4 linked regions of the Rattus norvegicus genome follow. The protein of the gene in region 4 purifies or fractionates together with the protein of the main gene of each other region. This does not show direct contact. Links are inferred from orthologs where the notes say so. Each region holds a gene or a part of one and is shown on either strand. Other genes may lie near its edges.

Region 1 (7,760 bases), on a different chromosome or scaffold from region 4:
ACACCCCTCTCACTAATTTTTTTAAGTACAAACTTTTGTTTTGATTAAAATGTATACATATATTTTACACACACAGACACACACTACTCCATCATAAACCAGAGATGGCTTTAAACAGTTGAGGACACTGGAGACAGACTACCTGGATTCAGATCCCTGTTTGATCACCTATGTAGACTAAACCTCTGTGTACTACTTTCCTCAGTCACTCATTCTGTGTTCCTGAGGCAGTGTGTTGTGTAGCCCAGGCTGAGCCAAACTCCCAAAGTAGCCAAGATGCCTTGAACATCTATCTTCCTGTATCTAGCTCCCAAGTGCTGGGATTACAGACATATTACTGTATATGTGTATATGTATCTATGTGGTCTCTCATAGAGAGGCCCACCTTTGAACCCCTCCAGGGATCAAATTCAGTTCTTCAAGCTCTAGGAACAAGTGCTGTGCCTACTAAACCATTCTGCTGTCCCTAGTTAAGTCTGTATTTGTGCATAAGCAAGCCAGGTCAACCTCAGCCATCACCCCTAAAGTCCATTTTTCAAACATGTTCCTTTACTGGCCAGGAATTGGCTCAAGTAGGCTAGCACCAGGGGATCCCCGATGATCTACTGCTCCTAGTGTTAAGAGTTCAGGCCAGGCTACCACACACTTAGATTTCCATGGGCCAGCTTTTCAAGTATCTCTCAAAAATAGGACAAGTCTTCTTGCTTCAGTGGCATTTTTACTGACAGGTATTTCCCTGGCCCCTCACCTTGTTGTTTTTGAAATATTTAGTTATTATTGTTAGGAAGGTTGCACAGATATGATAGTCAGAGGACAATGTTCAGGAGTTAGCTGTCTCCTTCCACAGTGGATTCCTGGGATCTAACTTAGTCTTAAAGAATTTGCATGGTAAATGTCTTTACCCACTGAAGCCACCTTCACTTGTAAAACATGCATTTCAAAACAGAGATGTAACCCTAGCTGAGGCAAAAGCAAGAAAATCACTGAGTTCTAGGCAGGCTGAGCTCCAGAGCGGGTTCAGATAAATGAGTGGCCCATTTCACCAGTCCACAACTCAAAGCAGCCATGCGTGCACATACAATTAAACACATTAGCAAATGATCAGAATCGGAGTTCAATAAATATAAACCCTTATTACAAGAGGGATGCTATTGTTTAAAAAAGCAAGTACTATCTTTTTAAAAGAAGAATCAAAAGATATAAGTCCATACACTTTTAGTTGGGGAAAAAAACCACTAGATTACTGAAGGTCATGAACACAACCTCTGAATTCTGAGTAAATTTCCCCCTACAGCTACCCTGGATAGCCTTTCAGGATATTGGCTGCACTGTCAAGATGGCTGTGCTTTGCCAGGAATCTAATTAATACCGATCTCAAGTCTTAAAAAAAAGAAGAAAAAAAAACTTCTTTATGCGAACTATTAAGGCCTGAATTTAAAAGTATTAACATTTTTCAAAGCTATATTTCTGTTTTTTTCACACGTGTATAGATATATGGGTATGCACCTGTGTCTGGGTGCCTAGGGGCCAGAGGTGTCAGTACTTGGAGCTCCAGATACATGTTGACATGGGTGCTAAAAACTGAACTCAGGTTCTCTTAGATACTAGTAAGTAAAAATAAACATATAGTACTGATGGATGGAAATGTAAAAATAGAAAAAACAAAAACAAAAGCAAACAAATATAACTAGGTTCTTGAATTTTTAAAGCCTAGGACTTGTGACTCCAGCACACAATCTAGAATACACATTCTATAAGAGTACGAATTATGCCCAGCAGTGGCGGCACATGCCTTTAATCCCAGCGTTTGGGGGGCAGACAGATCTCTTGAATTTGAGTCCAGCCTGGTCTAGAGGGTGAGCTCCAGGACACCCAGGGCTACAGTTAAACTCTTGTTTCTAAAAACAAAACAAGAAAAACAAAAAAGATATGAATTAGGTCATCTGTATTTCCCAGACTGTGCTTCAAATGGTAGAATTAACTGAGGTTAGGCAAACTTTCCTCAAAGGCTAAGCATTCTCTACTACCGTTTTCAATGTGCTACATCTGTAAGACACCCAAGTTCTTATCTTTTGGCCTCCACCTCAATTCTGTTACTACTGCTGTTGTCACTTTTTTAGCTGAAAAGTGAATATTTAACCTCTTCATTATGTACGGCACAGGGCATGGTTTTCAGCCTCTACTGAACAAAGGACAAATCCAGAATTTAGCTTCAGAAATTACATATAAACGATGGGGTTAGAGACGGCTCAATACAGACTGCAGACTGCTCGTGCAAAAGGACCTAAGTTGGGTTCCCAGAACCCATGTCGGGTGGCTCATAACCACCTGTTAACTCCACCTACAGGGGATCTAACATCCTATTCTGGCCTTACACACGCACGCACACTTTAATATAAATCTTTTTTAAAAGTGGTTTATACATACTCATTCAGACATCAATACATAAATTAAGGATTCAGTGTTTACTTTTCATAAAAAGTTCTCTAAATAAGATCAGCTAACACCAACCCACCTAATAAGGTTACCTGTGCAATAAATCCACAATGGCCAAAGTAACACAGGTTGGGAGGTCATGCTACACATAGGTTTCATAAGGTTCAACCTACTTAGCATCTAAAAAGATCTTTAAGGACTAACAATTACATAAAACTAAAAGAGAACACAAAATTTTAAGTTACCTTTGTGCAGCTAAGCTTATATAACAAAACCTTCTGTAGGTTAAAAAAAAATCAAGAAATCAAAGTATTTTACTTAAATTAAAAAGAAAAATTCTGACTAGAGGAAAAAAAATCAGCCCTGGGGTATAACCTAGTGGTGAAGCAATACTTATGTGCCTTAAATAAACTCCGACACACACAATCATCTTCAAATATCATCTCTGCCAAAGACCAGTTTTAAGATTAAGAAGTAAATTCAATCCTTTCTCTAGAAATACAGTCTCAGCTTTATAAGGAGCTGGAACGGCAAACTGAGTTTAAAGTCCTGAGGTACCAAAAATGGTAGCAAATTTTAGCTATCTACCCATGGGTGCACAGCTTAGCTCTGTTAAGGCACAGTAGCTGAACACCAAGGGAACTCTAGGAAAGGTTGGCGCCCTCCAGAATCTCAGTCTCTGAGTACGCTGCCCCTCCCCCACCGGCCACTGGCGGGGAAGCATGGGCCCAGCACCAGCCGCACCCCACCGCAGACACTCCAGAGAGGACGCTGAGTTTCTCGTCCCAATAATTACAACTAAGAGGAGCAGCTGACCACGCTTCTACTCTCCATAGCTTTTAAGGCGCCATTCACGATGCGTGAAGCAAAGTAGAGACTACAGCTCCGGGCCACGATGCCCCAAGCAGAATGGATGGAGAAGCCACAGCAGAAAGTCGGGACACCTCCACCGCTCCCAGTCTACAAGCGGCCTTCCCACCTACAGGGACGCAGGGCGGGGCAGACACGGAACCCTGACCCCTGCCAGACGCTACAGCGGGCTTTCCCCAGCTATGCTTCACAGCTAAGGAGGCGGAAATCCCGGCGGGGGCGGGGCGGGAGGGGCGTGGCATCACAGCCCCGGACGCGCCTTCCGGCCAACCGGATCCCGCTAAGGCGGGGGAACACAGGCTTCACGCCCCCTCGCCGCCGCGCCCTAAAAGCCACACGCCGGGACCCTCTTCTCGTCCCGCACACCCCGCGGACCCAAAGCAGTACAACCCGTGTCCCCGCCCACAAGGGGAGAAGGGGCGGGGCCACGGCCGCGGGCCTTTAGTCCCAGCCCGCCCCGCCCCTTTCTCCACCACCGCACGCGCGCCGGCCCCGCCTCTGATCGGCGGGACTAGGGCCCGCCCCTCCGTGCGCACCGGGACTACGCTCTCCTCCCCCTCCCGCACTGAGTGCGGCTCCGCTCCGCCCCCCACAGCCACGCACGGGAAGCCGAGGTCAGCCCCCCCGAAAAACACACGCCCTCCAGTCCCGGGTTACCCGCCACCCAGCTGCTGGGCAGACCGCGACGCGGCGTGCTCTCACCGCAAAAGCTCCAGCCACTCAGCCTGCGCGTCGCTCCCGGCGTGAGCCTCGCACCCAGCACGGAGGCCCCGGAACGGCGCGGGCACAGGCCCGCAAGAGCGGACTGGCAACCTCCTTTGCGCCTACGAAGCGGTCACAGGCCTGGGTGTCCAGACTGGGAAGGAGGGAGGGAGGGAGGGAAACTCTAAGGGGGGAAGGGGAGGGGGGAAGATGGAGAAACCGTCTCTGCCGCCTCTACCGCCGCGGCCGCTTCTCTGTTACCCGGGAAATCCCGCCCACTCTCCCGGCCCGCCCCGCCGAGGGAAGGCTTAACCTCGCTCCGCCACGGGATATATTACCCATCCGTCAATGGTTTAGCCAATCACCGTGCCGCAAAGGCCTATTCCCGCCCTCTTCCCTCGCTGGGAGGGGAGAGCAAGCCGCTCACCTTCTCCACGCCCCTATTGGCGGGGAGAGTCCCTAACTCAACCCCGCCTATTGGAGACTGATTGCCGAATCCCTCCTCCAGGCTCCAATACTATTGGAGGAAGAAGGGTACCTCGTCACATCTCATTGGAGAGTCTCACATATCCCTCCCCATACCGCCCCAGCCACAGGCCTAACAAATCGGCTCCCGCCTCCGCCGGTTCCCGCATTGGAAGACTACCTTTGCTTCTCTCATAGCCCTAGGAAGGTAAGTAACCAATGTGGGGTAAAAATGTCCTTAAGTGAGGCCGACTCCACCCACTACACTGCTGGGCCAGGCTCCGCCCCCAAAGATCTGATTGGACTATCTTGGCGCCGGTAGGAGCCGCCATTGGACACGGCGCCGGTCCAGGAAGGAGACCATTCCGCCCTGCGCGAGGATGCTGAACCTTAGCAGTCCTTTTGTGGAATGTTTACACTGGAGACTGAAGCTCAGCGTTCCAAGGCCGGGACCGGAGATGGCGCGCAGCGCAGCGGTCGAAACCGGAGGCTTTGAGATTTGAAAAGGAAAAGGCAGTAGTATTACCACCATTGGAGGATTAACCAAAACAATGACAGAAAGCCTCGTCCTTCCTACCCACTTATTTTTACACTTTCACGGTCTTCTAAACACAGCCATCTGGAGCACTCAGCAGCTACTTTCAGCAAGCCGACTCCAAAATTAATGTCTGGAGCTCTAATCTGATACAAAAAACCCAGATATTACTAGCCAGTCGCCAGAGCCGGCTGCATACTGTGACACTGGGACAACCAGAATCCGCAGCCCTCAGGGGGCGGAGATAACCCAGCGGAGGCCTTTAAATGTCACCGCCTGGGCAAGCCTCCGGAAGGCGGAGCATGAGAGAAAAAAAAATGTATTCCAGGTCGGCCGGGTAGATCCAGGGACATTTTAAACTGGAGGAAGGGATGCAGAAAAGCTCACACAGACCACTGTATAAATAAACCTTGAGTGTGCATTCACATTCAGATAACGAGTAAAAATTCCAGATTGTGTGAAGGATATGGTCTTAAAAACGACTGTTCAAAGGGAAGAGCCTGTAATCGCAACTATCCTCGATAGGGCAGGAATAGTGTCTCCTAGGCCAGCCCCTTCAAAAAAAAAATGTGAGGGGTATCCATGGCCTCCTTGGCAGAATGAGTTAATGGCGGTCTCTAAGCCTTCTTGGTAGGTAACAATGCCTAAACATATAAAGTGCTTTGAGATACCTAATTCCTTTCATTTATTCACTAATAAGGCGTAGGACCGATGCCGACCTTGCTTTGGGGAGCCTTTTGCTGCGCCGTGTGAGGTTAGGCGGGGTTAGTCTTCCCGCGCTCTAGAGCAAAGGGAAAAAAATCCTCCCTAGAGTCGAATGTCCCCAAGAGATACAACACCGGGAACCGTTTCGTAAATCCAGTGCTGCTCTCCTGTAATCCTACGGAGACAGCCATAAACAAGTGTTGGCAACAGGTGGGTCTCAGTCCTAGGATGGCTTCACGCCGTGAGGCCATAGTAAAGAGTTGTGAACTCCAAGAGTGGCCGACAGGTGGGAGCAGCCACACCGGTCAGCCACACCGGTAACAAGCCAAGCCCTGTTCCAGGACAGGGCTTTAAAAATAAGAAAAAACAAAACAAACAAAAAAAAAAACAGCTAAATCGTCCCAGGCTGAAGTAGCACTCCAAAACTGACAGATGCCTATCCTTAACTGAACTGCCTTACCCACCAGACGGGGTACCTACCACATAATGTACAGCACTCCCACCATGGTATCAACGAATACCCCCGAATCCTTGCTAGAAACAGGCCTCCCGGACTTCCCTTGACTGCAGAGACCGAGGTTTCGTAGATCTTGCCTAAGGTTCCATCTCTAGGTTGTCATAATCTTAGATTCCGCCGACTAAGGATCACGATTGCCTTGCACAAGGAATTAAGGATGCGGCCAACATCCAAGCTTTCTCAAACTTAAATTTAAGGAAGTCAAGGGGCATAGAGAAAGGCAGCAAAAGTTGACCGGGAGGAGGTTAGAACTCATTCCCTCCCCTCCGTGCAGCAGCCCGGGAGCTACACTTTCTGGAGCAACAGCGCAATTGTGGAGCTTCACCTCGAGGGCTAGCAGATCTTTAGACTCGGAAGAATCTTTGTGTGCCTCCAAGGCTTTCCCCGCCCCCCTAAATAAGGGCGCGGAGCCTGAGACTTCCGGGCGGGAGGGAAGTTGATGGGAGCTAGAAGGGCCTCAACCATGTGCCGAGCGCGCTCATGAGAAAGGGGGGGAGGGAGCCGGAGGACGTCCCCTCCTAGCTTGTCCCAGAAGGGGAAGGCCTATCCAATTGGCCAATCAAAAGCAGGGGCGGGGGCTTGTACCTCAAGTAAGCCCCAGGAATCCTCCCTCCGCCCTTCGAAGAAAAAAAATTTTTAGCAACTTAAACTCCAGTCCAACCTCCGGATAGGCGGAGCTCTAAAGAATATCATCCAATGCATACACAAGAAGGGAAAGAGGGACTCGAATTTAACCAGTGAAAGACAAGAGAAGGCGGAGCCTCTGGAGAGCCCGAAGTGGGTGGAAGAGGAAATGTCCCCGCCCCTCTCGGGTCCCCTCCAGGCCGGTTGCACAAGCTCCCTGCAGGAGATAGTAAACAGTCTTGGCCAGGCTACGGAGGCAGAGATGGCCGCGCACTTGGAGGACTGGCCCTGAGCCTCCCCTCCCCGCCAGCACCGCCACTGCCCGCAATTTGCTTCGGCGCCCCGCCTCTCCGCCCGCAGCCGCCATCCGGCTGACAGGCGCGCCCCTCCCCGCCCGCTGATGCATTTCCTTTTCCCTATTCCAAGCGTGGAGTCTGTTTTCCCAGTTTCCGACCTTCACTGCCCCTTTCAGGCCACCCCCTCGTGAGCGCGCGCGCATACAAGGCTGCCCCCACCCCGTACGCGGCCCAGTGGCACGCAGCGGCACCTCGCGGAAGAGGGAGCCCCGGCTGCACACTACTCAGGGCGGGAGGGGAGGGAGGGGGAGCAGTAGCCGCCGCCGTGAGGTGGGCGGGGAAGGAGGCAGCTCCATGTTTGCGAGGGGATCAGCTGGGGCCGCGAATTGAATCTGCCGAGTTCCTAGAGCTTTTCCTACACTCAGCAAGCGCTCCACGTCAGATCGCAGCCTAGCCCACACTGGCGCCGAATACTTGCTAAATTGCCGTGGTTCAGGAGTTCGTACACACCGGCGGCTCCCATGCTAGTGGCTGGAACCTCTCCGGCTCCTAGCAAATACAGCATTGCCCCCGCCCCCAGAGTCCTTAACAACCGCGAGCCCACAGTGCC
Region 2 (7,872 bases), on a different chromosome or scaffold from region 4:
ACATTACGTTCCTGCTCAAACAGCTCGTCCAGCTTGTACCACTGCCGAGGAAGTGGAGGGAAGCATGAGAAGCAGCTCCCGGAGCCCGGGACTCTGGTTACCCCAGTGTTAAACCTACCACCCGCACGCGCTCCAAGTCCACTTCTGCTCGCCGAAGCTTCTCCCAGCAGTAATGGCGATTACACTGGCGCTTGGGCAGGCGGCAGAAGTCACCTGTAAGCTCAAAGACATCGCGTACAAGTGGACACCCACAGACCTCATCAGCTGGCACCTGCAGAGACAGCAAGGCAGGTGTGAGCAGGTGAGGGGAGTCAAGAGGAGACAAAAGAGTAGGCGTGGGGGATGGTTAAACAGAAAGGGCGGGAACGGAAGCTGACAGGAAAAGAGAAGGAAGAAAGAAGGGAGGAAAAGAACGAATGGGTGTGAGACGTGAAGCAGGGTAGGACAGGACGCAGGGGGTTTGAGGAAAAACCTTACTTTGGGGTCCCGTGAGTGCTCAGGACATAGCACCTGGAGCCTCTTACAGTATGTTTTGCTCTGAGGATTGTAGACATCACAGAAGAGTCGGGTAGCCCTGTGGGATTAACACAGGATATGGCCTTGAGTAGCTCCAAGAACACGTCAAAGGCCCCAGTTCCACACATAATCCTATTTCCCACCCCACCCTCACCACCCTGCTCCTACTCCACACGGCTTACTCACCCCTCAATGCGTGTGGGGTACATGGACCCAAAGGATGTCTGGCTCTCATACTGGAAGGATGAACACAGATAAAAGGAAGTTGGGTGCCCTCTCATGACACTACCCAAGCAACCAATCTGTCCCTGTGGGCCCATAGATACCCCCGGCCATCCACTCCCTTAGCCTCCTGACCTTAGCATAGCAGCGCTCCATGTGACGCAAGGCAACTCGGGGGTTGATGGGATGCCCACAGGAGACACAGAAGATCTGCAGATCGGTGTCATCGCTGTCATTCTCATTGTTCTGCATAGGTTGAAAGGAAAGATGAGGCCAGGCAGGACGCCATACCGGGTCCTGCCCACTCTACCACGTCTTTACCTCCTCGTCCTCTCGCACAGCTTGCTGCTTAGCACGAAGGATGATGGCCTCAAGCTCGTGGAATCTGCGCTCCATTTCCTGAAGGCGGGTGCGGGCACTCTGCTGCTCACGGCGGATCCGTTCAAGGAGCTTCTTGCCGTGCTCTTCGGCGATGCAGGGGCTTTGCTGCCATTGCTGGATTCGCTGGGGGAGGATCTCATAGATTCGGCTGCAGGGAGACAGTGAGGTGCAGGCAGAGAGGCACCAGAAGCAGTGAGTGAGCTGACCAAGGGACAGTGAATGATGGGTCACTCAAACAGGTTCAAGGTTGAGTGACTGGGGGGGTGGGAAGTGGGGTGGGGACTGCATAGTGGCTTCGTGTGCCCATGGGGTTTTGATTGAACAGTACCTAGACAACTAACTGTAGGTATACGGAGGGAAGTCTGGCCGTCCCCTACTCTGTACTTCCTGACCCCTCAGTGCCCCAGGGAAGACTCACTTGGCTGCCAGCTTCATGCCACAGTCATCTGAACAATACTTGGACCCAGGCTGGGCGGCGCGCACACAGCCAGGTCCCAGGCACTGCGGTAGAGATGCAGGGTCCTTGGCATCGGCCCTCTCTGGGTGTTTCCACTTGTCTTTATGTTTCTGCTTCTGTCGGTGCCGTTTGTATCTCTCCTCCTTCTAAAGGGCAAGCCACGTCATGTCAGGCTTCCACAGAGGTCAGCCTCAGACCTTGTCTGCCTCTCCAAGGCTCCAGATGTCTGGCTGTCTCCACCTCCCTCCCCGCGCCATCCTCTTCCTTTAATGCCCATTTTACCCTCTCCATCACCTTCTTCTCAGACTTCTTCTCTCGACGCTTCACATGCTTCACTTTTACTGCCCGCTTCCTCAGTGCAGGATCCAGGAACGGGGACTCTTCTGCGTCACTCATCCATGGCTGCAAGCAGGGCATGCGCTGACCCACCTGATGACTCGTTACCACACCTGCTGCTCATTTCCCAAGCAGCCTGTTCGCCCTCTGGCCCCCTCCCCATTCTACGACTTCACCTTTTCCCCTTCCTCCCCACCACAGGATGACCATGTTACTCACTACGTGATCATCAAAGGCCCCAGCACAGAAATCCTGGTACAGATCAGGGTCCAGTGCTAGGTCCTCATCTGAGAGTGGCTCAGGTGTTGCTGTAGCCTCTGGTGGCTCCTTAACCACTGATGACAACACTGTCCCCTCATCTTCACGGATACGCCCCAGCTTCTGGGATTGCTGTGGCTGCTGTTGAGTGGGTGGTGGCCGGCGGGGCCTTGGCAGGGCCTCTGAGGGTGTCACCGGCGAGAGCTGCGGGGCAGAATCTCAGGACTGGCCCTGACCGCCCTGCCCGCAGCCCTGCCCCGCCCTGGGGGGCTGGACTCACCGAGGAAGGGAAGTACTTGTACGATTCCTGTGCGCAGGAGGAAGGCCTAGGTCAGCCCCAGGAAAATAAAGGTCTTCCCTGTCCTAACCCCATTTACTTACCCTGGCCTTGCCTGGTCTAACAAATGCAGTTTTCCCCTCCCCTCACCACAGATATACTCCATCCTACCCCATGTGTCCTGGCATGCTTGACAACCTAAAGCTATCATCCCCCCCACCCTACCCCCAGCTTTCCCCTGAACTTGCTAGGCCCCTCCCACATGTCTGAACATAACCAAGCTCCACCCCACCTGTACTTTCTTATTTGTAGCTCAAGCAGCCCTACTTGAGCCTCCCAGCCATGCTCTCCTATCTGATCTTGCCCAGCTCTGCCCATGCTCACCCGTGCCCGCAGCTGACACTGGCGAAGCCGGCACTTCTGCCGGATCTTGTTGGGGCCCCCAAACTTCTTCATGTCACGACAGAAGTCACAGTGGCCACAGTCCTCAGTGCGTCGGCATGCCTCACACTCACCACACATCCGAGCTGACCGTTTGATTTGCTGCTGCTGCTGCTGCTGCTGCTGTTGCTGGTGATGCTAGGAGACAGTATCCAGGGTAGAGATGAGGATATAGATGAGGCCCAAAGCAGAACTTTCACCCACCCCGAGCACTGTGGCTACTCACCTGGCTAGGTGTGGCCACCAAGGGCTGTGGAGAAGATTTGTGGGGCGAAGCAGAGCCCCGAGCAAGCATGGCCCCAACCCCTGTCCCTGACCCTGCCCGGCGCTGCAGTTCTGGATCTGAAGCAGGCCTCTTGCGCCCTCCTCCCTCATCCCGGGGCTCACTGCCGTCCCGCTCACTGCCATCCCTCTCCCGGCACTTTTTGTGGCGGTAACGAATCTCCAGCTTCGGGTCCTTCTCTGTGAGGCAAAGAGTGGAGCCAAGGTGGGTTTGGAGGAGAGGTTTGAATGGTCCCAGAACCTCTTTCTCTTTTCCTGCCCCACCTACTTGTCCAGCTCACGCTATGGGAGAGCTGCCCCTTCCTTTGGGTTCTTCCACAATTGCTCACATTGGAGCTGGCCTTCCAATTCACCACAGACCAACGATCACTCTGGCCACACAGGACACCATTATCACCCAGGATCCCTCCCATTACAGCTCCTTCATCTCTTGGAGTCCACCTCCTTCACTGCCCATGCACAAGCCTCACCTCGGCACTCGCGACAGTACCATTCCCGGATGGCCTTGGCCATCTTCTCGGTGATGCGGATGCAGTCCCCATGAAACCACTCGTTGCAGTTGTCACATCCACTGCATAGAATAGAGCAAGTGGTGGAGATGTGAGGGGTGGGTCCGCTTCACCGGGTTCCCGCCCCTGCCAGGCATCAGCCCACCTGCTTCTCCCAAACTCACATCATGAAGCAATTGATGTCCGGTTTGCGACAGATGCAGTAGATGGGGGCGTTCTCCCCATTCTCAGACTTGCTGTCCTCCCCAGCATCTGGAGGTTCCAGGTCTGAGCCATCTCCTTCCTGTGAGACCCACCCCCATGATGGCTCCTTAATTCCCTCTTCACAGCTCCACCGTGGATAGCCACAAATTCCAACTGTGTCTTCGGACTTCCCGTTAGCCTTTCCGTTATAGTTCACCCAGACCCTCCTCACCTAGTCCTGGGCCTCATTACTTTGTGTTCTACTTCCCCATCACTCAGACCTCCCATCACACTGTCAAGCATCCTGTCACTCTGACTGCTCATCGCATACACTCAACCAAACTGTCCCATTCAAGAGTTCTACACGGAGAGCACTTAAATTTATTCTGCTGTCGTCCCATCCCGACTTCCCACAAGTGTCTATAACTTAGCTCGTGGACCCCACCCCCAATGCCGGTTCTCCAGAGCCTGTGCAAATACATTCATGGCCAAGTCCTTATCTCTCTGACGAAGGTACTTCGCGTGAAGGTTTCCCACAAAACTGCCATCTGGAGTCCCCACTGAACTTCCACTACGGACCCCCTACAACGGTTCATCAAAGAACTCACAGATGGTTCACCTCAAACCTCATCACACCCCTTCACTCACCGGCCCAGAGACTGGGCACACAGCTCGCCAGGAACCCCGTGCGCCTGCCAATAGGCAGCGGTTGCCAACCCCTCCGACCTCTGCCTCTGAACCCCGATCCGACCAGGTACTCACCATATCTCCGCTCACAGAGCACCCTCTCTGGACCCCGCGCAGCAACCCGCGAAGCTGAACAAGCCCCTCGGCCGCGGTAGCAAAGGCACCCGCAACTACTTCCGCCACTGGTCCCGCCTCCGCGGTCCCGCACTCTCACTCCCCACGCCTGGCGCGACCGCTTAGCGGCAAACAAATAGGTCGCCCATCTAGAGCCTCGAATGTCTCCTTGTCGCCGCCATCTTGACCATCCAGTCCGTAAGACAGCGGAGACCATACGTTCCGGGAAGTATGGCTGCGCCTACAGTTCGGGTCGTCCGAGCGCGCCGCCACCTTGTCAGTCAAGTCCGTACGGTGGCCGCCAGAGGGCAATATGGCCGCATTTGCTTCGACGTTGGGACGCAGATGTCGTCAGCTGATTAGCGTCATCAGGCGGGCTCCGTGCGTTCCTAGGCAACAAACAGTAGCTTCCGGATCACGGCTTCCGAAGGGCGTGGCCAACTTGATATTTGACTCCGTACAGTGTCTGCTGCTGCCACAGACTGGTTAATCCTGTTACTGCCTACATGTGTCTCATTCATTCCTGCATCCAATCATTTACCCTTCGATGCTTATCAATGGGAATGCCAGGCCTCCGGAGAGGGAAATAAATGTCGTGCCAGTACCTGGCCCAGTTCTTGCTCCACTTTTATCTGCCTCCCAAATCATGTTTTTTAGCTAGGCCTAGTTTTTTGTTTTGCTTTGTTTTTTTGTTTTGTTTTGGGTTTTTTTTTTGTTTGTTTTTGTTTTTTTGGGACAGAGTCTCTCTAGTCCTAGCTGTGCTTCAACTCACTGTGTACATCAGGCCGTCCTCAAACTCACAGAAATCCACCTGCCTCTCCCTCTCAGGTAGTGGGATTAAAGTCATGAGTGATCACTTCTGACTGAAAAAAAAGTCTTAACTTCTTGAGCATGGTGGCATATGCTGGTAATACCAGCACTGATGGGGCTGGGGTTAAAGGATGCAAATTAACAAGGCTTGCCTAGAGTTGAAGTCCAGCTTGCACAATTTTGAAACCCTATTGGGAGTTTAGGGGCATAGAGAAGGAGACCAATAAATAAATAAATAAATAAATAAATAAATAAATAAATAAATGAAATGAGTGTTAGAAAAGACATTCAGAGCCAGTATTATCACGATATTAATTACATAGCCCTGAAGTGAAAACAGTGCCAAGTACAGTAATTCCCAAGTAAAAGTACGAAGGGCCTTAGTTCGACTCCTAGTATTACAAAAACAAATAATGAAAAGAGTTCTTAGGGCCAGTGAAACAGCTTAGCCAGGAAAGACCCTTGTAGCCCAGCCTGGCAACCTGAGTTCTATTCCCAGAACTTAGACAGGAGGATGGGAGGTGAGGACTGACAACCACAAATGGTTTTTGACTTCCACACTTAAATCAACTGACACCGAAAATAAAAAACATCATTCAGGCCTCGGAACCAACAGGAACAAAGACCTAGTCTGCGTGACAAAACGGAATCAAAGACTAAGTCACTGGTTCCAGGATGGGTCTGGGAAAGTCCCTAAACATACTAACCTTGCTTTTGGCCTCTGTCCTTCTCCTTCTTGCTAACTAGTCTTGTTAACTAACGTGTGTCAACCTGGAATGCGGTTTTTGTGCTTAAAAGACCAACAGTGGTAAGGCCTGGGGCTACATGATTTGGGAAAACCTCTTGCGTCACCACAGTAAACAAAGACTTTCTAGTCAACTTTAAGGTCTATGTATGCTCTCCTGTGAACTTACCATGTGACAGAGGTGGAGGTTTAAAATCATCCTGGGCTAAAGACTCTATCTCAAAAAAGCCTAACAAAACAGACGAAGAAATGGATAAAGTGTGTGTGCTTTGGCATTATTCTGCAGCTTATATAGAAGTAAAGTTGTAGTACATGCCTAATCCCAGAACTCAGGAGGCAGAGGCAGAGGCAGGCAGACACATGTAGAATGAATTCCAGCATAGCTAAGGCTGTACCAAAACCCTGTCTTGAAAGAGAAACTGTCTCAAAAGAGAAACCCTGACTTGAAAGAGTGACCCTGTCCTGGGGGAGAAAAAAGAGAATTATTTGTTTGTAATTTTTTTTAAAAGTCTGTGTGTCTAGTCATTCCTGTCATATGCACGCAGTGCCCTTGGAGGCCAGAAGAGGGAGTAGGAGTCCCCTGAAGCTGGATTTACAGTGTTGTGAGCTGCTCGATGTGGGTTCTGGGAACTGAACTTAATCCTTCACGGCATGGCCACATCTCAGTACCTAATCTGGACAACTAAAATTGGTATCTCCTGGCAACTCTTCTCAGCCCTTCTTACTATGGGCTTGGATGAGCTCTTTTCTGTGTACCATTGTGTGAGACACTGACTTTTACGCTGACAGAACATTTTCAAATGACATTCTAAATAAAACTGCAGCAAATGTTAACATAGCTTCGTACTTATCCCTGACTTGACAATCCCCTTAAAGGTTGTGAAGTTAAAAGGAAAAAATGATAAAAAGGAAAACTTGGAGAAACTTTGTAGACGAACTCGCTTTCAGTTGTTTGCTCTTGAAAGGGTCCAGGATTCACTGAAGAGTAGTGATACCCTACACTCAATTAGGATGCAAGCAAAGAGCACTTATTCTGCAGAAATCCAGCCTGCAGGGGTCCACCAACCATCAGAACTGAAGACCAGGGTGAGCTTCACAGGAATAATTTAAAGCAGATTGGAGGAACTCCAGGGTGGGGGTAAATGGATCTTTAACTTGATTAGTTGGCCATCTCTAGGGTCGTCTCTGGGATTGGCTAGGGTTTTGGAAACTTTGCAGAATCTTTACTGGGGGGCCTGGAAACTGTTGCTGACTGACTGTTCTTGCCTTGGCCAGGTGGCAGGGCAGCTTCTGATTGGCTGCCTTCGGGTGTGGTTTTTTCCAGCAGTTTGTTTTGCTTCCTTTGAGGTTCTATTTTACAAGTTTACCTGTGAGGATGGAGAAGTGGCTCGGCAGCTATGACTGCTTCTTAGTCTTACACAGGACTCCAGTTGGGTTCCCGGCACCGGCTACGTCACAAGCCAGGTTCTAAGATGGCTTACCCTTGAATGGCTATCAGACCTAGGGCTGGTGGCCATGAAAGTTAACACACAGCCTTTCTCAGAAACCTGTGTCTTAGGATTTCTATCATTGCAATGAAATACCATGACCAAAAAGCAAGTTGGTGAAGAAACAGTCTATTCAACTTATGCGCTGTAGTCCACTGTAATTTTAA
Region 3 (8,009 bases), on a different chromosome or scaffold from region 4:
ATTATTAAATAAACATCTTCCATTAAGTAAAAGGGACTGAGAAGATGCTGACACTGTTTATGAAAAATGAAAAACTATCAGGGCTCTTTTAAACTCAGTTTTAATTCTCATAAAGTAAATTAATAGTTTATATAAAATTCAACTTGTTCAGAAATGAGAAATTTCCTCTTCCCTGGCCCTCAGTGGGAGCAGCTTGCTGTTCATATATAATCCTGACCCAGCAGGCTGTAATGCCTAGCTCTTGTCATTGAGCCCCAAGGTCTGCAGTGGCAAAACCTGTCTATCACATATGCTGATGCTTCAGCCCGTGAAGTAAATTAAGAAACCCAGTTTTCATTTCTCTCAATGTCTACTGCTCAATAAAACAAATGCTATTTACCAAATCAATTAAATTTTTCTGGCCAGGTCAAAGTAAGTTGAGGAAAAGAAGCATTATAAGGAAATCATTTTTTTTTTAAAAATAAAAATCTTGTTGATTTAAATCTCCCATGAGGACAAAAAAGTGGCACTGTCAAGAGAAAAACCACTGTCAGGACTGATGTTTCACCCAGGCCTCCAAGTCTCTCCGTATCCCAGATTCCTTCCTTCCAGTTTCTAGTTTAAAAAACATAGGCTTTTAAGTTTGGTAGCAATGCAGAGAGGAAATTTCAAGTCTTCCACTGGTGGCCAGGAGCTAGAAACTGTGTGAGGCTATCCTTGTTTGGGGTAGGGCATCAAGTCTCTTAGAGCAGCTACCTAGGGTGGGTTCTCCTCCTGTCCCTTTCACATCCCCAGAGATGGTAGGCTTTGTATGGGTAACTGCTGCTCCTAAGATCAGGACCAGATCATCACATTATAAGCTTATCAGGAAACCCCGTATCTAGGCTGACTACCTACCCAACAATGTGTGTACATGTATATGGCTTGGAGGATCCTTTTGTTGTGTTTCCTGCAAAGCAAAGGATATGGAATTCCTGGGATGTGAAGCTCATGTTTATTTCCACATACTTATGCCCCAGATTATGTAGGCATTACTATCTTAAGTCCTGCTGGGTACAATGAAAGCACATTATATCCTATAGTAAATGCCAAGAGCCGGTCAAGCACAGTCTTGGTGCCTGTCCTCTGCAGATACATCTAGCTGATTGTGCCACTTTTCTAAGCATCACGGCATTGGCAGATCCTAACTCACATCTCAGAGTACAAATAGAATAAAACAGCATCTTTAATATCACAAGAAAATCATTTCTTGTTCTATACTTTTCCTCAAAGGCAAGAACCTGGGCACACCAATAAAAATAGCTCAAAGACACCGTCTCATAGTGTAAAGGTGATCTGTTCTCTAGGTGTTTAGAGTCAAGTATTCTTCCAACTCATTTCAACAATAAGAGCACTCCTTTTTTGGGGGTGGGGTGGGGAGTGTCAGGGCACAGTTTCTCTGTGTAGCCCTGGCCATCCTGGAACTCAAACAGATACACCTACCTCTGCCTCCCGAGTGCTGGGACTAAAGACATGTGCCACCGTGCCCAGCAATAAGGGCACTCTTAAGGCCAGGCCTTGTGGTGCTTGTTGTTAATCCCAGCACTCGGGAGGCAGAGGTAGGCTGGCCTGGTCAACAGAGTGACTAACACAACAGCCAGAGACATATAGCAAGACCCTGTTGCAAAAAGACAAAAACAAAAAGAGAACTTTTAATCGTTATGAACAGTCAATGATAAAAATGGATGGATAGTTGGGGGCTGGACAGATGGCTCAGAGGTTAAGAGCACTGACTCCTCTTCCAGAGGTTCTCAGTTCAATTCCCAGCAACCACATGGTGGCTCACAACCATCTGTAATGGGATCCGATGACCTCTTCTGCTGTGTCTGAAGATAGCCACAGTGTATTCTCATACATGAAATAAATAAATCTTTAAAAAAAAAAGGATAGTTGGGGCTGGGGATTTAGCTCAGTGGTAGAGCGCTTACCTAGGAAGCGCAAGGCCCTGGGTTCGGTCCCCAGCTCCGAAAAAAAGAACCAAAAAAAAAAAAAAAAAAAAAAAAAAAGGATAGTTGGATAGACAGAGCTAGCTGCACAGCGCTTAAGTATCAGATGCCCCTTTCTTACCACTGAAAAGTCACACTTTTTAGGGGCTAAATGACAGTGATGTGACACTTGAAGCAGAAACAGATGGAAGAAAACAGTCACTGGGAAATAAACAGATTACAAAAGCATAAACATTGCTTTTTTTCATTAAGTTGTCGTAGACTTTGGAGTTTAAATAAAAGTGTTTTATAATGAATAAAAATGTAAAATCAATCAGTATTAACAAAGGCTCTTTAGTGTCACCAGGAAGGCTTTAGTATAAAGACCTTGGAGTTTGGTTTGAGAATCACTGGTGTGGGGACTGAGCACAAAGCCCCCATAATTGCTATCTGTCTGTGTAAAGCACCCTTTCTATCTAGCTAAGATTCACAAGGGCCATGAGTAGACCCAATCCGATCCCACTCCTTTCCCTCCTCATTCAGGTTCAGCCATTATGCTGAGGAGGCTGTAAGTTCCTAAGTTCAGGTCAAAGCCCAAGAAACTTTTCAGCTGAAACCTTCCTTTCCATCTCTAACATTTGTAGTAAGGAGCTGTGTTTTAGCTGGAGCCTTCCTGTCCATCTCAAGGATTGGTGGAGACAATACATGGGCGTTTTTCCCTTTGGTTGTGGTGTGGGCGCAGGATAATGAGGTCAACAATGAGCTCTAGCAGAGCTTCCTGTATTATCTACTGCAGCTCAGCTGAATTCCTTTCAAGGCAGTTAGAGGAGCAACAATCCCCAGTACTTCCTCAATATCAACACAATATAAACAGGCAACAAGGCTATTTCAAACCCAAACACATGTGTTTAAGCTACAATTTACCAAATCCTTGACAGTGCCTATCAGGCTTCTCAGGGGAAGGCTCTCTGGATATAGTCTCCCAACTCTTGCTCCTGTCCTAAATAACCTGCACTTTCTATTCCCAACAGTCAGGTAACATCTAGGGATAAACTGTATAGACACAAGGATAAAATTACTTATTTTTAAATTTGTCTGCTGGGCTGGAGAGATGGCTCAGCGGTTAAGAGCACCCAACTACTCTTCCAGAGGTCCTGAGTTCAATTCCTAGCAACCACACGGTGGCTCACAACCATCTGTAAAGAGATCTGATGCCCTCTTCTGGTGTATCTGAAGACAGCTACAGTGTACTTATATATAATAAATGAATAAATCTTAAAAAAAAAAATGTGTCTGCCACCTGTGTGCAGGTGCCCAAAGATGCGGAAGAAGGCATAGGACTTCCCAGAGCTGGAATTAGACATGGTTGTGAGCCCTCCAGATGCTTGGGAACCAAGTTCTGGTTTTGTAGAAAAGAAAACAGGAACTCCTAACAGCTGAGCCATCTCTCCAACCTCTAGAATTATTCTTAAAAAGTATGTCAACTGCCTACTCATGTTCCCTTATGAACTTCTCAAAATGACTGCTCAGAAAATAAACTAAAGCCTTGTCTGTCTCACAGATGAGCCTGCACACTCAGAACAAATGAGCACACCTCAGACTTTGGGCTTTGACCTCCTCTTTCCAAAGAGCACACTATCACTGGCTGCAAATCACACAACCTTTGTAACCGAATCAACACAACCTTAGAGACTATTGGTGAGTTTCTATAAAGACCCAGTCACCTAAGACCTAAGGAAAACTCTATTTAGGGGCAATTTCTTAGTTAGGACTTGAGCATAAGAAACAGTTCCTACAACATGGGTTCACTATGCAGGGATCTAAGAGCAACATGAAACAGTGGAATCTTTACTCTTCTGGGGCCAAACAGAAGTCACCTAGTCTCACAGGACAAATGTGTAACATGGTAAAACATGCCATGCTGACAGAAGTGTAAGGCCTGGCACAGTACCCACATGCTGAAGAGAAATCATTCTTGAGGTGCTCAGCACCAACTGAATTAAGACTCTTTAGCCTATTGAGGCAATACCTACCAGAGGTCCAGAGAGCTTTTCTGACAATAGAAAACTTCTGCGAACGACAAAAGATAGGAAGACATCCCATCTCGCCTTCAAGACCTACCTGAGCTTTCCTCAGGTTCCCTAGCACACGTTCTCAGCAAGCTATTGTGATGCTACACTTGCACTGAGTGCCAGGAGGAAAAGTGCCGGTCATGAGTGCTGGCAGGGGGTCATCAATTACACAACCTTTTTTGTGTGCTGTTTCTCATCTGTACACAACTGAGTTTGCCCGACAGACAAACTCACTCCACTTAATCAAGTGTAACAAGGAACATCCTTTTGTGGAAAATCAAATATACACAACATTCCAAATCAAACCCAGGGCCTCTTACTCAAGAGTTACTGCTGAGATCAATCTACATTAACCCACACCTGGCCACCAACATTGGCAAGAGGCAATGAAAGCCCAGGCAACGCCCAGGCCCTACGAGGGGCTGGGCCTTGGTCTTCCCCGAAGCCTCCCCCCACCCCCAAGAGATATCTGCTCCTACTCCCGCGAATTCGCGCCTAGGCCCGATCGCGTCCTACCACGAGTGTTCTACCAGTGTTGAGGACCTGCGGCCGCGAGAGGCTGGCTGGGCCCCTAACCCCGAATCACAATCAAGGGCTCCACAGCCTCCCAGACCCAGACCAGCCTGGACTACACAAGCCAACCAGTGATTAGACAGAAACCAGACGCAGGCAGGCCGCCCGCCCGCCCGGCCTCACGCGCTCCTCCGCGATCCCTCGGCCCGGGGCCGGAAAGGGCCTCACGGACCGCGACGCCATTTTCTCGGCGCCATTGCACCGCTCGCCAGGATTAGGCTGCCGGCATGGCGTCGCTCCGCCTTGCCCCGATCCTAAATGCCGTTCAGGTCCACACGGCTCCCGCCCTCCTTCGCTGCACAGAGCCACTTACCCCGGCCGCAGGGATCCCGCAGCCATTTCCAGACCTACCACTGATCTAGAGCGGAGACCAGCGAGACTACCGTCCTAGAGCGGTGGGCCGCGCGGCAAGCGGAAGAAATCAACCGGCCACCGAGACGTGGTGAGGCTAGAGCGGCCGTGCCGCCCTTCTTACACGCATGCGCCACCGGGGCTCCTCGGAGCGCCAGCCTAATCGGCTGGGCACGCTTGACAGATTCCCGAACCAAGGGGCTAAGCTAGGAGCCAATGCCATGAAGAGATTCCTCGAGCTATCCTGGAACAGCACTCTGCCCAGTATTCCAAAAGCTTTAGAAACCCTCTGCGCCTACGGGGACTGGTGCTTCGTGGTAAACCAGCGTCAGACTCCGGTGGGAAGGAGCCAGGAAAACTCCAAAGTCCCTTTGCGGGCCGCGCAGCTCTTGGCCTATTGCAGGGAGTATGCGGGGCCGGGAAGGGCATCCGCCCAACAGGAATTCCCTGGGACTTAACTCTGCTTTACTCCTTGCTAGAAACACCCTTGCCCCGTCCATTTCTTCCTAAATACCAACCAGGAGTCAGGAGCCAATGCCTTGGCATACGTGCCTACGAGGGCCGGACCCCCTAACCCCCAGCCTCCTCACGAAGGCATTTAAGGATATCCCCCCCCCCCTCTAGCGCTTACTACAGTGACATTCCTTCACTGTCCCCCAAATTACTTAAGGAAACCGGAGAGAGGCCTTTACTCTCTTACAGTACTGTGAACACTAGCCACTTTGCCCAGAGAGCAGTTAACACCGGGTAGGCGCTCAGCTTTGCCCCATACAACCAGCTTATTTATGTATGCACAGACACAAGGCTTGGAAGCCAGACTTATGTCCTAACTTCGGCTTCCTGGAAGAACGAACATGTGCTCCAGTCTAGTAAGCCCTCTCTCACACTGTAGAGGCCTTTAATGCTCCATTCAGAAGTCCAGGTCTTGAGTAGTTTTCTTTCTAACATGTCCCAAGATTACATGCCAGCTCGTGGGGCTTCCAGTACAATAGGAGGCTGCGTCTGCTTCCCTTGGTGAGATCCTTCAATACCACCTTTCTGATTCTTGTCAAGGAGCCTACCCTGATTCCTCAACTCTGCCCTTGAGTTATGTTCCCAGCATCCACAAAGAGACAAAAAACTCCGGTTCCGGGGATTCAGTGCCCTCTTCTGGCCTCCTTGGACACCAGGCACCCGGCACCCATTGTATGTACACATAATAGATGCAGAACACTCATACACATTAAATTTAAAAAATTTAAATATAAAAAAACTAAAACCCAACATTTAACTTCTAGTTCATTTTATTATGTACAGTGCTGGAGATTGAACCAGGAGCCACTCTAGGGACATGCTAGGTATGGAGTGATCTTAACAGCTAACTTTAGATAAAATGTGCACAGCACTGAAGAATCCTATAACAAACAAATCAGCAACTTTGTATGAAGTGGAATAGAGTAAAGCATCTGTCTTTGATTTCACTGTAAGAACAGCAGATTCCAATTTGCAGCAGATCTTTATCTGGCAGTGGTACATCTGTACACAGCTGAGATCCAACACCGACCATCACAGTACAGAGAGCACAAGGTACTGGCAGCACAGAAAAGAGCCAAGAAAACAATTCATAGACTTTGTAACCAGGTGTAGTGACATCTGTATTGCAAGCACTGAGGATGCTGAAGCAAGAAGACCTGTGAACTCCAGGACAACCTTGGCTACAGAGTGAAACACTCTCTTAAGACATAAAAAAGTACAAAAACCAGTCAAGACAGCCAGGGAAACACTGAGACCCGTCTCAAAGAAAAAGAAGAAAAAAAAGTAACAACAAAGAGGGCTTATGTCACAAATTGTCCGGTCCACAGAACAGAATCTGTGCAAACCTGCCTATAGAGGTCAGGGCTGGAGAGATGGCTCAGCAATTAAGAGCACTGGCTGCTCTTCCAGAGGTCCTGAGTTCAATTCCCAGCAACCACAACCCACAACCATCTGTAGTGGGATCTGATGTTTTCTTCTGGTGTTCATGAAAAGAGCTATAGTGTACTCATACATAAAATAAGTTTAAAAAAAAAAAAAAGGTCAATGATCCTTCTTTTTCTGGTTTATTTCCCAAGTGTTCTGCCTGCATGTATGAATGTCCAACCATGTGCTATGCCTAGGGCCCCCACATAAGTCAGAAAGGGGAGTCAGATTCCCTGGAATTCGGAGTTTGGGGTGACTGTGACCACCGTATGGGCTGGTAATTGAACTTGGATCCCCTGCAACAAGGGCTTTTAACCACTGTAATACCCCTACAGCTAAGATGTCAGGATTTATAGAAAAAGGGGGAAGCGATACAAATGTGTAGCTCTTTTGCAGCTCTCTTCAACAGAAGCCAAGGATTAAAGAATCCAAGGGCTTACTTTGGGGGGAGGGGGGAAGTAAAGGAAAGCATCCATGGAAACGATGTAGTTCTGGATTTAATTCCAGAACTGGGAAAGCAGCAGGCTGGTCTCTGTGGTTCAAAGACAGCTTGGTCTACCAGCTGAAGAAGACCCAGTCTCAAGAGGGTAAGAGTTATTCTACGGGGTTGGGGATTTAGCTCAGTGGTAGAGCAAGGCCCTGGGTTCGGTCCTCAGCTCCAAGAAAAAAAAAAGTTATTCTACAAAACGCAGCTGGCATCTTGGTACCTGTTTTTTTTTTGTTTGTTTGTTTGTTTGTTTTTTGTTTTGGTTCTTTTTTTCGGAGCTGGGGACGGAACCCAGGGCCTTGCGCTTCCTAGGTAAGCGCTCTACCACTGAGCTAAATCCCCAGCCCCCCTGGTTATTTACCTAATGGAAGCATTTTGTATTTTATCCTCAGAATGCTTTTCCCTTTTATAAAACTCCATGCTATTTGATTATTCAGTGCTGAGGGTTGACTCCATTATCGTGTGTTTGTGCTGTGTAAGTGCTCTCTCTACCACTGAGCTATCACTTCAGCCCCTTGATGATGTTCTCTCTCTTATTAATGTGGTGTGCACATTACCAAAGTAGGCGTGGTGGCGTCTTTTCTGCCTTCCTTTACATGGCTCCCAGGGTCTACTACACAGGTCATTAGGCCATGGTGGAGCAAG
Region 4 (7,209 bases):
AATTTAAAATTAGAGACTTAAAGGTGCTTGCTATACTTATGGAGGACCTACATTTGCTCTCAGCACCTATGTAACCCCCTGTAAGTCCAAGTTTGAGAGATCTGACACCCCTTTCTGGCCTCCTTGGGCACCTGCCCTCATACGTGCATATGCACATACACAAACACATAAACATAATTAACTATAAAATCTTTTAGAAACAAATGGAAGGATCAGATTTTCACCTGAGAAAGATCAATGAAGTGATTGGCTTCCGCCATCACCTTCACTCGGAAGTTTGTACCGTCATCCGGGCTCAAGGCATAGCAGAATACCTGAAAGGCAGGGAAGGGACAATGTACTCAATAACCTTTGCTCCAACCTTCTCAAATAATGATGGAGTAAAAGCCACCAAAAAATTATTCTTACCTCAAACTTATCAGGGTTGTGCATGCCTGGAATAGACTGCATAAGGTGTGAAGTAGGATGATTCCCAAAGTCAGAACTCACATAGCCTACACGCAATCGGCCATCACTGAGCTTCAAGTCTTTTGGATGCTCATATGGTGGTTTATGAAGGACATTAATCTACCAGCAGAATACAATGTTCATTAGGAAAATCAAGTAATGTGTAAATTTTAATCTAAAAAAAAAAAAAAAAAAAAAAAAAAAACGGAAAACAGAAAACCGGGACTGGCAATGAAGCTCAGTTGATAGCATGATTTGCCTAGCTCATATAAAGCTAAGAGTTCTATTCCCAGAACTACATAAAAACCAGGCATGTGGTGCCCATCTTTAATCCCAACCCTCAGGAGACTAAGACACATGGAGCTTTGAGTCTACACACTGGGTTGCAGCCATCCAGTGTGATGTAGTGAGACAAAACAACAACAACAAAAAAGGACATGTTGGTGCACCCCTGGGACCCTGTCATTGTGATGTGGAGACAAAGGATCTGAGGTTCAGTGTGATCCTCAGCTGTATAGAGCTTAGAGTGAACCTAGCTAGGATATAGAAAACCTATGAAACAGGGGTTGGGGATTTAGCTCAGTGGTAGAGCGCTTGCCTAGGAAGCGCAAGGCCCTGGGTTCAGTCCCCAGCTCCGAAAAAAAGAACCAAAAAAACCAAAAAAAAACACAAAAAACCTATGAAACAGTCTGAACACATCTAAAATTTCTAGGAACGAAGAAATATGAATGGAGTATGATAACCCTTACAGAATTTTAGAAACTTCTATGGATAGCATTTTGGGGAAAAATGATAGGAAGGAAAGAGGGAGTAGAGAGGGGGAGAAGGAGAGAGGGAGGGAGGGAAGGAGGGAGGGAGAACTTTAGATCTATCACTGTTTCCTGGAGGAGGATTCTAAACCTTACCAAGTCGTGTTCTAATTCTCAGAGTATATAATACTACACGCTCAATTTAAACATCATGTGGGGCTTTTGTTGTTATTGCCTTTAGTTTGCTTTTCAGATGGGAGCTTTTGCTTGTTTGTGGTTTTGAGGTAAGAGCTTGCTATGTAGCCTAGGCTGGCCTCAATTCACCATCCTCTGCCTCTAAGTGTTGAATTACATTAGTACTGGGATTATATGTTTGTATCACCATGCCTAGTCTAGATTTCCACCTTAAAAAAAACTACCACCATCAGAAATGAAGAAATGAGCTCAAGTCAGGCCATAGGCCACAGTGAAGTAAGTGTGGCTTCTAGGGTAGCTAAGTCAGTTTCATTTCTAGTTGGTAAAGTCATACATTTGATTTATACAATGTTTTTCTCTATATGCATTTCAGTTTACAACAAAAAGACTAAAACGAGAGTCACCTTATCCAAGCAGAGATTCCCATGCCTCTCTGCAATGGCCTTCCTGAAGCCATGGGAAAGAGGGTACAGCATGCTGTGATGAGGATGGACAGAAGGCAGCCTATTCTTCTCTAGCTGCTCAGCTACAATACTAACCAATTTCTTCATCCGCTCATCATAGTCTGTCCAATCACAGACAATCTAGAGGAAGCAAGAAGAAATGATCACCCAAAAACTTAACCAAAGATTTATTTTACAAGTATTTGAGCTCCTAAAGTAATATTAGATAACCGCCTAAAAGCACAGTCTTGGGGCTAGCTCAGTGAGTATAGGTGCTTGCCTTTGCATGCCAGACGATGCATGCCAGACGATGCATGCCAGACAATGCATGCCAGACAACTGGAGTCCAATGCTAAAAGAAATGGCTCCTGAAAACTGCCCTATGATTGCTACTTGCCCAAAAATATAAAAATAAAGAAAAATAAAAATAAAATAAAAATACTGTCTCTTTTCTCTAAGCAGGCTTAGATTATCACGGAACACAATTAAAAAGTGGTAACAATACAGAAAGAAAAACATTGAACCATTATTCTTTACCTGTAGGCAATGAGCCAAGTTACAATAAGCATCAGGAAAGTCAGGCTTAAGTTTCAGAGCTGTGCGGTAAGAAGCTATTGCTTCTGGAATATTCCCTGAATCCTGGAAAGAAAACAAACTTGTGAGGAGTTTCCTACAATGATACTTCAGTGCTAAGGTACCCCGTCTTTAAATACCAGCAGTACCTTGTGAATGGAAGCCAGATTGCTGTGTGCATCTGCGAAGGCAGGATTAATCTGGATGGCACGAGTATAACACTGCAAAGCTCCCTGAACATCCTGCATCTCCTTTAAAGTGTTTCCCATATTGGAATAAGCATCAGCAAATGTAGGACTGATTCTGAAGGAGAAGACAAAAGCTTGATTATCTCATGTAAAATCTTGTTATATAAAGCACTCGGGGGGTTTGGCATGTGATTAGGTGCTTGCCTACCAAGCATGAAGCCTAGTTTGAATCCCCAGCACCAAAGAGGGAGAAAGAGTCATTTTAGCACCTACCAAATGCCAAACCTTTAATTATTAGATAGTAATAAATTATTAAATAATAACAATAAATTATATAATAATTAGGGCTCAGCAATTATAGTTCTTGCTGTTGCAGAGCCTGAATTTTGTTCCCAGCATCAATGTCCAGCTCTAGGGGGATAAAGCACCCACTTCTGGAACTTAAGGACATTTTATACATAGATAATACATATACTTAAAAGCAAATTAATCTTTTATAATATGACAATAATAAGCTGGGTGTGTTCCCAGCACTTGGAAGGCAGAAGTAGGCAAATCTCTGTGAGTTTGAGGCCAGCCTGCTCTACAGTGCAAGTTCAGAACAGCCAGGGATACTGATAAAAACACATTTTTTTTTAAAAAAAAAAAGCAGTAATTTTAAAAGGTTAGTGAGATGGTTTAGCAGGTAACTTGATGGCTACAATCAAGCTTGATAACATGAGTTCAACCACAGAACATATATGAAAAGATAAAACAGTTATCCTCTGACCTCCACATGGGCACTGTAGTGTATGCCCACATTTCTCCACACACATGAAATAAATGAAATATGATTATTAAAAAGTAAAGCAGGACATTATACATGCCTTTAACTCCAATACATGGGAGGCAAAGGCAGGGGCATCTGTGAGTTCTAGGCCAGCCTGATGCACATGGAGTTCCAGGACAATCATGAGAGGCCTTGTCTCAGGGGAAAAAAAACTAAAAATAAATATAAGTAACTAAATGAATAAACAAATAACAAGGGGCTGAGAGAGGTGGCTCAGTACTGACTGCTCTTCCAGACAACCTGGGTTCAATTCCCAGCAACTACATGGGGCAGTTCACAACTGCCTTACTCTCAACTCTAGGAGATCTAACACACTCCTCCCTCTTCTGGCCTCTGTGGGGACCTACATGTACTGCACATATCCATATACAGATGAATATTTTTAATGATTTTTAAGTTTAAAATATGTAAGTCAGGTATGGTAGCACATGCCTTTAAATCCAGGACATGGGAGGCAGAGGTAGGTAGAGTAGATTTCAATGAGTTCAAAGCCAGCCTGATATAGTGAGTTCCAAAACAAACATGAACATAATTCATGATTGTTTCATGTTCATAATTTTATGAGACAGGGTACATAATGAAACCCTGTCTCATAAAAAGCTTAAAATAGTTAACTTTTAAATTATTTTATTATTTTATGTGTGTGGATGTTTTGCCCACATGTATGGTTATGTAACATGCACAAGCCCGGTGCCCTTTAAAGTCAGAAGAGGTCATTAGAGTTCCTGGTATTAGATTTTCAGATGGTTGCGAGCTACCACCCGGTGCTGGGAAATGAACCTATACACTCTCAAAGAGCAGCCAGTATTCTTAATCCCCGAGCCATCTCTCCAGCCCCAAATTTTTGTTTTACACAAGGTTTTCCAATGTAGCCCTGGCTGGCCTAGCTCTTGCTATGCAGATTAGGCTGGCCTCAAACTCACAGAGATCCATCTACCTAAGCTCCTGAGTGCTGGGATTAAAGCATATACCACTATGCCACGCCTTTAAAAAATAGATGCCAGGTGCTGATAGCACACAACTTTATCCCAGAATTTTGAGAGGCAGGGGCAGGTAGATCTCTTGAGTTCCAGGTCAACCTGGTCTACAGAGTGAGTTCCAAGACAGCCATGGCTACTTAGAGAAACCTTGTCTCAAAAAAGAAAAAACAAAGAGATGCTGAAGTGAATGGGAGAAAACCCATCAGGCTTCAATCCTATGCAAAGATATACAGGCATCTAAGTAAGAGTAAGCCTTCTGTAGGGAAAAGCACACCAATTGGTTATCCAATACCAAATGGTCAGCCCTGAAAATATACACAGTAACATTATACAGGTTGTGAAAGTTGTATGTAGAAATACATAAGCATATAAATATATATATATACATATTATGTGTGTTACAACAATTCACAAAAAATGTGTCCATGGATTTGAGAGCAAGGAGGTATGGTTTATGGGACAGTTTTAGAGAGACAGGAAAGAAAAAATGATGTAATTATAATCTCAAAAATGAAAACAGAAAAAAGAAGCTATGGGTTTCTTACCTTATGGCTTCCTTATAGTGCATCAGTGCTTCCTGCAGCTTGCCCTGCTGTTGCAGTACACTTGCTAAATTGGAATGTGCAGCAGCAAACTCTGGGAAGACCTAGAGTTCCGATAACAGCTGACATTAAATAGCAGAAAGACTCTCCAAAGTACCTCCCACAGCTCTGAGACCATCACTGTGTACACCTAGGCTTCTCGCCACCCCTTCCAAGTTTACCCAGTCTTCAGGTCTAATAGCTCAAATTCTACTGCTCCCTCCATTTCATACCTATCTTCATTTGAAACAGGAGGTGTGCTTCTCTTCCTGTAATCATGCTGAGTAATGCCACTTCTTTTCTAAACTCCTACTAACCACACAGGCCTGAGTTCTTCACTGTAATAGCTTTACAGTGAAGCTATTACTAAGCTTACTAGTCAATATCTTGCATGTCATAGGACCTTATATCAATAGTGAATGACCCTCTTAAAGAGGTGAACGGCAGCTGAACCTTTAATCCCAACACTTGGGACTCTCTGGGTTCGAGGCCAGCCTGGCCTACACAGTAAGTTCCAGAACAGCCAGGGCTACACAGAAAAACCCTGTCTCAAAAATCAAAACCAAAAATAAAATAAAATAAATAAACCCAGAGGTGAATGAATGGCAGGCAAACTAAACTGCTTTCCCTTTACTGTCCCATAGGCTAGGCTAGACCCTCCAGTCACAGCACTGAACATACCTCTAATGCTTTGCGATACAGGCGAACTGCCTCTTCAATATTGCCCTGTTCCCGTTTGATGTTGGCAAGGTTATTCAAAGAGTCTGCATGGGTAGGACACAGACGAAGAGCTGTGTTATAACAATCTTCTGCTTCAGCAACCTGGAAAATAAAACAAACCATTCAGAAACTACACAAAAGAATCAGGGAGACCGCTGCTATTCTAGTAATTCAAGTAACTGCATCATTGAGTCTAATGGCTGGTAACACACTGGAAAATGGACACTTTTCAATATCCTCCTTCCCAGCAACCAAAACTCGAAAGGAAACCAATATAACAATCTCAATACTTAATATGTACAATGAAGACTCTTCTTTTCTACCACGTAACAAAGAAATAAGACAAAATCCTTACACTGCCCTTCTCTTTGAGAGCATTTGCTAGGTTGCAGTATGCATCAGGGAAATGAGGCTGCAGTTCTATAGCTCGCCTGTAGGTATCAATGGCCAGGTCTATAAGGCCTTGCTCATAGTACACACAAGCCAGGTTGCCGTGTACCACCGCATGATTTGGGCTCAAACTTAAGGCACGAAGATAAGCTGCCACAGCTCTGTGAGAAAAACAAAAACACATACACAAAATGCAACTAATTAAACATATTATTATTAGTGTTTATGACATGTATACAGGTCGGCATAGACCACAGTACACGTGTAGAAGCCAGAAGACAGCTTTGTAAAGTTGGTTCTCTCCTCCCATTGTGGGTTCCAGGGATCAAATTCAGGTCATCTGCTTATACTTTCACTCACTGAGCCATCTCGCCCTTAACCTTAATGGAGATTTTATTAAATGAAATGTGAATTAATTTTAACTAATGACAACTTGATATTTTATTGAATATCGAAATCTCATTTTTAATAAAATGTATTTTTTTTTTTTTGGTGCTAAGAACTGAGCTTAGGGCCTCATGCATGCTAAACAAGGACTCTACCACTGAGGAAAATTGTTGGCCCTGCATTTTTTTCTTTTTTTTTTTTTTCCCTTTTCTTTTTTTTCGGAGCTGGGGACCGAACCCAGGGCCTTGCGCTTGCCTAAGCGCTCTACCACTGAGCTAAATCCCCAACCCCGGCCCTGCATTTTTATTTTGGGATATATGGGGTTTTTTTGTTTTGTTTTGAGCTAAGATTTTACTCTGCAGCTTTAGCTGACCTCCAGCTCTGTGCAAGCCCTTCTCCCCTGGCCTCTCAAGGGCTGGTATTACAGGTGTAAGCTAGAACATCCAAGCCCAGTATGTTTTCTTGAGAGAGTCTTGCTCCATCAAGGGCCTGGCCTTGAACTCACAGCAATCCTCTTGCTTCAGCCTCCAAAGTACCAGACTATATAAAACATATTTTCACAGAAAAAAAATTTGTGTATTCCTGCTCAGCTTCCCTTAAACAACAAAAAAGTTACAAATCAAAGGCTAAAGAGACAACTCAGTGGACAGGAGCACTGGCTGCTCTTCCAGAGAACACTGGTTTGATCCTAGAACCCACATGGCAGCTCACAGCCATGTATAACTCC

Evidence for each region.
Region 1: the proteins of Ogt (region 4) and Sin3a purify together in Homo sapiens (affinity purification with western blotting; 4 studies listed by BioGRID, with this or other methods). This does not show direct contact. The link is inferred for Rattus norvegicus from reciprocal best matches to the Homo sapiens genes OGT and SIN3A.
Region 2: the proteins of Ogt (region 4) and Cxxc1 purify together in Homo sapiens (affinity purification with mass spectrometry; 3 studies listed by BioGRID and IntAct, with this or other methods). This does not show direct contact. The link is inferred for Rattus norvegicus from reciprocal best matches to the Homo sapiens genes OGT and CXXC1.
Region 3: the proteins of Ogt (region 4) and Dido1 purify together in Homo sapiens (affinity purification with mass spectrometry; 3 studies listed by BioGRID and IntAct, with this or other methods). This does not show direct contact. The link is inferred for Rattus norvegicus from reciprocal best matches to the Homo sapiens genes OGT and DIDO1.

The regions. Positions count from the first base shown.
Region 1 is NC_086026.1:66,378,168-66,385,927, reverse strand, and holds the start of Sin3a (paired amphipathic helix protein Sin3a), read right to left. Parts: upstream 4,146-7,760; 5' UTR 4,009-4,145; intron 3,921-4,008; exon of another isoform or gene 3,662-3,920; intron 1,899-3,661; exon of another isoform or gene 1,793-1,898; intron 1-1,792. UniProt on the Homo sapiens protein: Acts as a transcriptional repressor. Corepressor for REST. Interacts with MXI1 to repress MYC responsive genes and antagonize MYC oncogenic activities. Also interacts with MXD1-MAX heterodimers to repress transcription by tethering SIN3A to DNA.
Region 2 is NC_086036.1:70,085,534-70,093,405, reverse strand, and holds the start of Cxxc1 (CXXC-type zinc finger protein 1), read right to left. Parts: upstream 4,681-7,872; 5' UTR 4,628-4,680; coding exon 4,625-4,627; intron 3,963-4,624; coding exon 3,844-3,962; intron 3,742-3,843; coding exon 3,641-3,741; intron 3,351-3,640; coding exon 3,115-3,350; intron 3,027-3,114; coding exon 2,832-3,026; intron 2,478-2,831; coding exon 2,451-2,477; intron 2,375-2,450; coding exon 2,132-2,374; intron 1,979-2,131; coding exon 1,871-1,978; coding exon of another isoform or gene 1,859-1,870; intron 1,723-1,858; coding exon 1,538-1,722; intron 1,268-1,537; coding exon 1,060-1,267; intron 985-1,059; coding exon 874-984; intron 753-873; coding exon 703-752; intron 575-702; coding exon 478-574; coding exon of another isoform or gene 272-477; coding exon 119-271; intron 42-118; coding exon 1-41. UniProt on the Homo sapiens protein: Transcriptional activator that exhibits a unique DNA binding specificity for CpG unmethylated motifs with a preference for CpGG.
Region 3 is NC_086021.1:188,189,821-188,197,829, forward strand, and holds the start of Dido1 (death-inducer obliterator 1), read right to left. Parts: upstream 5,004-8,009; 5' UTR 4,902-5,003; exon of another isoform or gene 3,977-4,901; intron 3,967-3,976; exon of another isoform or gene 1-3,966. UniProt on the Homo sapiens protein: Putative transcription factor, weakly pro-apoptotic when overexpressed. Tumor suppressor. Required for early embryonic stem cell development.
Region 4 is NC_086039.1:70,833,945-70,841,153, reverse strand, and holds part of Ogt (UDP-N-acetylglucosamine--peptide N-acetylglucosaminyltransferase 110 kDa subunit), read right to left. Parts: intron 6,257-7,209; coding exon 6,061-6,256; intron 5,808-6,060; coding exon 5,667-5,807; intron 5,051-5,666; coding exon 4,950-5,050; intron 2,711-4,949; coding exon 2,557-2,710; intron 2,474-2,556; coding exon 2,372-2,473; intron 1,976-2,371; coding exon 1,796-1,975; intron 568-1,795; coding exon 409-567; intron 315-408; coding exon 225-314; intron 1-224. UniProt on the Homo sapiens protein: Catalyzes the transfer of a single N-acetylglucosamine from UDP-GlcNAc to a serine or threonine residue in cytoplasmic and nuclear proteins resulting in their modification with a beta-linked N-acetylglucosamine (O-GlcNAc).